Linked DNA regions of Neurospora crassa OR74A. The protein of the gene in region 1 interacts with the protein of each later gene in a pairwise test. Links are inferred from orthologs where the notes say so. Each region holds a gene or a part of one and is shown in the gene's direction. Other genes may lie near its edges. The genes, in order: NCU01820 and NCU03905.

Region 1 (3,919 bases):
TTGGACAATCCCAGGGTAGCAAAAGCGGGGCAATCCTGACGCCTGGGCATCTCCACTGGGGAAATATTGATACGGAGCTATCAAGTGATGTACATGGCAGCTGTACCGGATCGATGGGCCGCAGTGAAGATGCGGAGATATCTCAGGATAGCTATATCCGGTCGACCTATGTAGTGTAGAGTTTCAAGAGCTGTGTTTGAATGGTTGTCCAGACTCGGGAAGCAGAAGGTCCTTAATACTGACATATGTATGTTGGTGTATATGGAATGGTGGTGAAATGGTATTACCTAGGTCTGTTCGTTAGGACAAGAGCGGACTTTGTGTGAGCTAGGTTCTGAAGTATCTATGTACAGGCAGTGTGCTATCCCAAGTTAAATAGCAACTGAACCAAGCATAAATTACCCAGTAAACATTCATTTGGTGCCGTTTGGGAAGAATATCCAGATATGATGCTGACATATCGACAAGAACTTTTCTCGGAAAGCCCACGATGGGTCTCAGTTGGATGGCTTTGGGTTGCTGTTAAGACTACAAGCAGATAAATACCGTTTTGGGTTGCGCGGACGACATCTGGAACCCGACGTGGTCCCAGTGGTGAAATGTGAAAAGAACGACTGGAAGGGAAGCCGTCCCAGAGGCGCGGAATCCCGTGGTCCAGTCCAAAGGTCCAGCGAGCGCGCGCGGAGGGCGTCACCTCAACATCCGTCAACCTCCGCAACGAACAAGGGCGTCCTGGTGGACGTGCATGCCAAATCGGAACGGGAGGCTGGTGGGGTCCATCACGGTTCGGCCTTTCTGGGCTTTCGACCCGATTCTCAATGCTCCCTCCAGTCCAGCTCCAGCTCCATAACCTCCGTCATCCCACTGCAAATTGAAGTGCACATCCCACTGCACCGCCGCGCGCAGGCCCCTTCACGCCTCTTGCACTTCTGCAGCCTCGAGGTTCGCTTCATTTTTTTGCCAAACTGTGAACCTTCCATTTGACTTGCACTGATCAACACGCAACACTGCACTCGCAAAAACGCCAACCCAACAACCCGACTCGACCCGTTCGTTGTTTCCTTTCTCTCGCTCCAGGCTCGCGACCACGACGATTGTGCCCCACGTCTCCTCCTGTCTGGATTATTCATTCCATCTCCCGGCCCCAGCAACCCGGCCGTCAAGCCAGCTGCGCTTCGCTTCGTTTCGTTTCGTTTGGCACGCACCGTGACCCGGACAACCAAACAGACCTGGACCTAGGCCATTCACACACCACGTCTGGACCCAAACACCCCTCACCTCGCAATCCCTCCATCTACCTTAGTCCTTTTCTCCCCGCCAGACCAGCAACGAGCTGTCGATCTCCTCCCATTTGTCTCGCCGAACTTTGGTAGCAGCAAACCCATCCTGCTCGAGACTATCCACTGTTCAGCTACCCGCTGTACCCATACCTTGCTACCAACCCCTCTGCATCCCAAATCAGTAGAGGAACGCGACCATGCCCCTCTCCATCGAGGAACTGGACAACCAAGTCCGCACCTTCTATGAAGGTCGCGGCGAGACGGTAAATAACGACGCCGGATTCTGGTTCGCCCTGTGTAGATGCTGACGTTCTGTTTTCTGCTTGAATAGCAAGCTCAGGCCCAAACCGTCCTGAACCAGGTATGTCTGCCAATAGCCAAACTCGACCCTCCTTTGTCCTGACAGCCAGGGCTAACATAGCATCCTTCAAACAGTTCAAGGAAGATCCCGATGCCTGGTTGATGGTCGACGAGATCCTCCAGAAGGCCACCTACGAGCAGACAAAGTGTCCGTCAATCCCGCCTACGTACCAGACAGTTCATATCCAGAATGTCATATACTGACAGGGTTTGTAGACTTGGGGTTACAGGTCCTCGACAATGTGATTATGACGAGGTGGAAGGTGCTCCCCCGCGAGCAGTGTCATGGTACGTGAAAACATGGCCATTTTGGAAGCTTAATGCCCCTACAGTAGCTAACTTGTCTCTCTCTCTCTCTCTCTTTCAGGTATCCGCAACTTTGTCGTCCAGTATATCCTCCAATGTTCGAGTTCCGAAGAGCTTCTCAAGGCCCACCGTGTCCTGCTCAACAAGCTTAACCTTGTTCTCGTCTCCGTCCTCAAGCAAGAGTGGCCTCATAACTGGCCTACCTTCATCAACGAGATTATCTCTGCCTCTCGCTCGAGCCTTTCGATCTGCGAGAACAACATGATCATTCTGCGACTCCTCTCCGAAGAGGTCTTCGACTATTCCGCGGAGCAGATGACGTCGACAAAGACACGGAACCTCAAGACCACCATGTGCGCCGAGTTCTCGCAGATTTTCCAGCTTTGCCAGGAAGTTCTCAACTCTGCCAACCAGCCCAGCCTTATCAAGGCCACCCTCGAAACCCTGTTGCGCTTCTGCAACTGGATCCCTCTCGGTTATATCTTCGAGACCCCTCTTATTGAAACCCTTCGGACGCGTTTCTTGGAGGTTCCCGAGTTCCGAAACATTACTCTCCAGTGCTTGACCGAGATTGGTGGTTTGCAAATAGGGGGTCCTACGGGCCAACAGCCCAACTATGGCGAGGCCCTCATCAAGATGTTCACCGAGGTCCTGACGACCATCTCCAACATCATTCCTCTCAGCATGGACTTGAAGGCGACCTACCCGGCCAGCAACTCTCGCGACCAGGAATTCATCCAGAACTTGGCGCTGTTCCTTTGCAATTTCTTTGGCATGCACCTGCCCGTAAGTAGCTGAGATTTGTGAGCTCATGATCGTAGTACTAATATGGTATCTAGCTCATCGAAAACCTGCCGAACCGTGACTTTCTTACACATGGTCACTATTACCTAATCAGAATTTCGCAGATTGAAGACCGCGAAATCTTCAAGATCTGCCTCGACTACTGGCTCAAGCTCGTCCAGGAGCTCTATGAGGAGATGCAGGCCTTGCCCCTTTCCGATATGAACCCTCTTCTTAGCGGTGGTCTGCAGACCAGCGGCGCCCCGAACCCCGCTCTGCTCAACAACTACCCTCTCCGCAAGCACAAGTACAACGAGATTCTTTCCAACCTGCGTGTTGTCATGATCGAGAAGATGGTGCGCCCCGAAGAAGTCCTCATTGTTGAGAACGACGAGGGCGAGATTGTCCGCGAGTTTGTCAAGGAAACCGACACTGTCCAGCTTTACAAGACCATCCGCGAGTGTCTCGTTTATCTCACCCATTTGGATGTGGTCGACACCGAGCAGATTATGACCGACAAGCTCGCACGCCAAGTCGATGGATCCGAATGGTCATGGCACAACTGCAACGTTCTCTGCTGGGCTATTGGTTCTATTTCTCTCGCCATGAACGAAGAGACGGAGAAGAGGTTCCTTGTTACTGTTATCAAGGATCTTCTTGGACTGACCGAAATGAAGCGGGGCAAAGATAACAAGGCCGTCGTCGCCAGTAACATCATGTACATTGTCGGACAGTATCCCCGTTTCCTCAAGGCGCACTGGAAGTTCCTCAAGACGGTCGTCAACAAGCTGTTCGAGTTCATGCACGAGTCTCACGAGGGTGTCCAGGACATGGCCTGCGATACTTTTATTAAGATTGCCAAGTCTTGCAGACGCCACTTTGTTGCGCTCCAGCCTAGCGAGTCTCAGCCTTTCATTGAGGAGATCATCAGGGACCTTGGCAAGATCACTTGCGACTTGACTCCTCAACAGGTACATACTTTCTATGAGGCTTGCGGCTACATGGTAGCTGCTCAAGGCAATAGGCACCAGCAGGAAAGGCTGCTTTCTGAGCTCATGCAGATTCCCAATATGGCGTGGCAGGAGATTATCAGGCAAGCTAGCCTCAACCCTAACATCCTCCAGGATGCGGACACCATCAAGGTTATTGGCAACATCATGAAGACCAACGTCTCGGCATGCTCATCTATT
Region 2 (3,919 bases), on another chromosome or scaffold:
TAAGCCATGCGGGCTTCCTATCGACGAGGCGTCTGAACTGCCGACAGGAAGACGGAAACAACGTGGGATCTTCAATGGGGAGACTGGGTCTCGAACTCAGGTCTCAGTGGCAAACCAGCATGCCAGACTCGAGCTAATTGCGACGGTGATAATCACGACACCGAGTGCGCCCATTTTTCAAACAAATGCCCCTGGCTGTTGTTTGCTTGGACACAGTACACGTGTAGTGTACACTATTTGTGGTTAAGGTTTGTAAAACTCAAGTTGATGCGGAGATAGAGGAGAGTGCATCTCTTTCACCGTCGAACAAAGGCCACTTATTATCCACTCCGGTGTTTTGCCTGCAAGAATCTCCACTTGGGGTACCCGCGGAAACTGATGTATTTCCACGTCGATGAAAAGTGGACGGGCTGCACTCGAGAGGCTCCGACTAGAACTACATACTGTAGTACATACACGTGTAGGTCAAACAAAAAGTGGCTTTTTTTGTACGGTTCAAGAGATTGACACTGGCAGCTCTTGCTTGAAGCCCACTCACGTCAAATCGGTCAATGTGATCCTCTACGTAGTGGGACGCAATGAAACAAGAGAAATCCCTTATAGGAAAAGATACCGACATAGAGGTACCTTTTGTGGAAACGGTCCGACTGATTTTGATTGATTGTCTGCATCTGATAGAACTCACTGTCAGTCCTTTTGTTGAACGAATCGACTCGGGGTGTCGTCGGCATGTCAAGGTGTGCTGACAGTTGCCAGAGCCGGTCACGGCGCACCCGACCCGACCGTCCAGGAACGATCCAGACGTTCCCTTCGACTGATTTTCGCTGACAAATTGACTTTGGACTGAAACCCCTCCACGCTCCACTTGGACACCCCCAAGCGTCCATGCGCCCAATTGTGCCCCGTGTAGCCCGCATTCTACGAGTTTGGCCCTGTAACCAAAGAAGAGCGTCCACTCTTTTCGCCCGCTTTTGGACGGTCTCGCTTAGTCTCGTCCCCTCCATCGCCAAAGACCGCCCAAGAGTCCTTCCCTTCTCAGATCTGAATCGTATCAGCGAACCAACGAAACACAAACCTGCTCTGCAGCCTGTGCCGTCGCCTCTCCAATCGCAGAAAAGGAGCCCCCGCGGGATCATACGTGTACCTTATTTCCTGAACCCAATTGCTGACAGGATTCCGAAAGGCTGAGTGCCAGGTGAGTCAGGTGTCAGGCCGATAGGTTTGCCCATCAATTCAAGTCAGCGTCCGCCGCCATCCCACCCACTCGGCTCGGCCAACGGTTAGTTCTGTTCCAGCAGGCAGTTAACCTTTCCGGCTCACATCTCGGGCACTCGCAATTTTCTCCCCCCTTCTCTACACCTTCTGCCACAACTTCGCCCTGGTACCTCTACCTATTCCGTGCAAATACATCCGCGTCTTTTGTAACTTGCCACTCGGACCAAGTCCCCTCTCTTCTGTCTCAGTTCAAGTTATCCTACTGCCTTCCTCTCGTTTTGACCCCCGGCAAACCCCATCACCTCACACCGAACGTCTTCCTTGGGAGAAGACTTGAGTCTCGAAAACTAGAGAAGCGGGAGAGAACTGGACAGGAACTGGAACTGCCCGGTTTGGTATTCCGTCCTAGCCCGCAACGCTCAACGAGTTTTCTGCCTTTCAAGCTGCTAGTTGCGTGGCCGCTGGCTCGTCCCCGTCTGATCCAAAGTCAGTCTACGGTGCTGTCGAAACGTCATCGTCTCCGCAAGAGATTTTCTATCGTCACCCGTACTAGCATCTGATCTACCCCGACATCAGTTTTCGACCAGGACATACGTACATCTTGGGCCCGGTACCCCGGACCTCCGCTAAAACACATTGCCATTGGACCCGCGGTCTTGATACTCGACAATTGCCGCCTGTGCGGCTCCGACCGCTAGGAGCGATCAGATCACGAGAGTGAATTCATCCCATCCTTTCAACATCCAAGGTCTTTCCTCGATTCAACCGACTGCTCTACCTCTTAGTCACCATCTCCAATACAAGACAACCGAAAATGACGTCGACTCAGAACCCTCTTCACAATCTCGTCCTCACCCCGCAGCAACAAAGCCTGTTGTTTGCCGCCCTCAATTCCAACAAGCCCATCAACACACAAGCCGACCTCTCTGGTCTATCCGCAATGTACAACGGAACGTCTGCCCAAGGACTCGACCCTATGGGTTTCCAGCACACCCCGAATTTCGGTTACGACTACGGCCTTGATGGACAACATGACCCCAACTTCGATTTCAACTTCGACACTGGTGATCAATCCCACATGACGGACGATCGGTCCAATGCTCCAAGTGATTCCAAGTCGGGCTCCGCCGATGTGGAGTCCCCCGACAAGCGCAGTCATCCGGATGACGACGAGGAGGAGAATAGCGAACCAAAGAGGAGAGAGGGCGAGGGAAAAGTTGCCAAAAAGCCCGGCAGGAAGCCTCTTACCACTGAGCCCAGCTCGGTAAGCCTGCCTCGGTCGATTGATCCTTTCGAGTCTCAGTAAGGATTGACTACTAACGTGACAATAACAGAAACGCAAGGCCCAGAATCGAGCAGCTCAACGAGCGTTCAGAGAACGCAAAGAAAAGCACTTGAAGGACCTTGAAACCAAGGTCGAAGAGTTGAAGAAGATCTCCGAGACTGCCAACCATGAGAACGAGATTCTTCGCAAGAAAATGGAGAAGATGAGTAACGAACTGAACGAGTACAAGAAGCGTCTATCGTTGATGACAGCTCGACCCCCGATGGTATCACCTCGGGCTATGCCGTTCGGCAACTCCTTTGTCAGCAACCTCAATGATGTCAATTTCCAGTTTGAATTCCCCAAGTTTGGCGGTCCTCTTCCTGGACCACAATCTGCAAATCAAACCAAGAAGGGAACCCCTGTGTCGCCCCCTTTGTCTTCAACAGGTCGGCTGGAGCAACCCACGAATGGCGTCAGCACCGGTACTACACCCAATTACGGCCAAATAGGCCTTGATACACAAACCAAGGAAGACTTGGCCCATTACTCGGCCGATCTCTTCACACCTCAGTCCGCAAGAGGTGAGGGAGCGAACTTTTCGACCAGGGGAACAGATTCTCAGTACAATGCGGGGGCCGGCACGTCAACGAGTTCCCCGTCCTCTTGCGCTTCGAACATGGGTGGCGCTAGTTCGTCGTGTGGCACCTCCCCAGAGCCTCTAACTCATTCGCCCGTCGGATTGAAGTCAGTAGATACGATGGCCACAATCGGAGAAGAGCAACCAGGCGTCATTGGTTCAGGGCAGCCAGGTAAGCATTCACCAGTCTTCAATGTTCGCTCTGATTGTATAGGCCAGAATTTACCAACACTTTCTAGACTTTAATACTTTTGGTGTTGACAACACTCTCAACTGGTTGCCTCAAGACAATTTCCAGTTTGATCCGCAGCTCTTCGGAGATTACCGAGAGCCTCAGAACAATGTCCTCAACAATGGATTTGACGATTGGTTGACCAATGATGCATTCGATGCGGATTTCCTGGCACCGTATAATCTGCCACCAACAGCTCCAGGGTTGCTGCCACCACAACCCGAAGCAGAATCACAACCACCGAAGAAGGATCTCATCGCTCAGATCGATGAGGTCAACGCATCGGATGATGGAGTCAGAGAGCAACTTGATTGCAGCAAGATCTGGTATGACCAAACCGAGAGAGGCCTCGAAAATGTGACTTTTATTAACATGTTCAACAGGGACAAATTGCGCAGTTGCTCCAGTGTACAAAACCAAGAGATTGATATGGACGCCTTGTGCTCCGATCTGCAGAAGAAAGCAAAGTGCTCTGGCTATGGTGCTGTGGTTGATGAGAAGGAGTTCAAGAGTGTTCTGAAAAAGCACCTAAGTCCTGAAGCAATGGCGAGGTGCGAGAAGGACTGTG

What was found.
Region 2: the proteins of NCU01820 (region 1) and NCU03905 interact in a two-hybrid assay, tested with the Saccharomyces cerevisiae proteins (4 studies listed by BioGRID). The link is inferred for Neurospora crassa OR74A from reciprocal best matches to the Saccharomyces cerevisiae genes CRM1 and YAP1.

Annotation. Positions count from the first base shown.
Region 1 is NC_026502.1:2,295,822-2,299,740, forward strand, and holds the start of NCU01820 (exportin-1), read left to right. Parts: upstream 1-856; 5' UTR 857-1,477; coding exon 1,478-1,543; intron 1,544-1,611; coding exon 1,612-1,641; intron 1,642-1,715; coding exon 1,716-1,788; intron 1,789-1,856; coding exon 1,857-1,928; intron 1,929-2,007; coding exon 2,008-2,732; intron 2,733-2,785; coding exon 2,786-3,919. UniProt on the Saccharomyces cerevisiae protein: Receptor for the leucine-rich nuclear export signal (NES).
Region 2 is NC_026506.1:2,106,374-2,110,292, reverse strand, and holds the start of NCU03905 (hypothetical protein), read left to right. Parts: upstream 1-955; 5' UTR 956-2,029; coding exon 2,030-2,479; intron 2,480-2,549; coding exon 2,550-3,291; intron 3,292-3,358; coding exon 3,359-3,677; intron 3,678-3,734; coding exon 3,735-3,919. UniProt on the Saccharomyces cerevisiae protein: Transcription activator involved in oxidative stress response and redox homeostasis.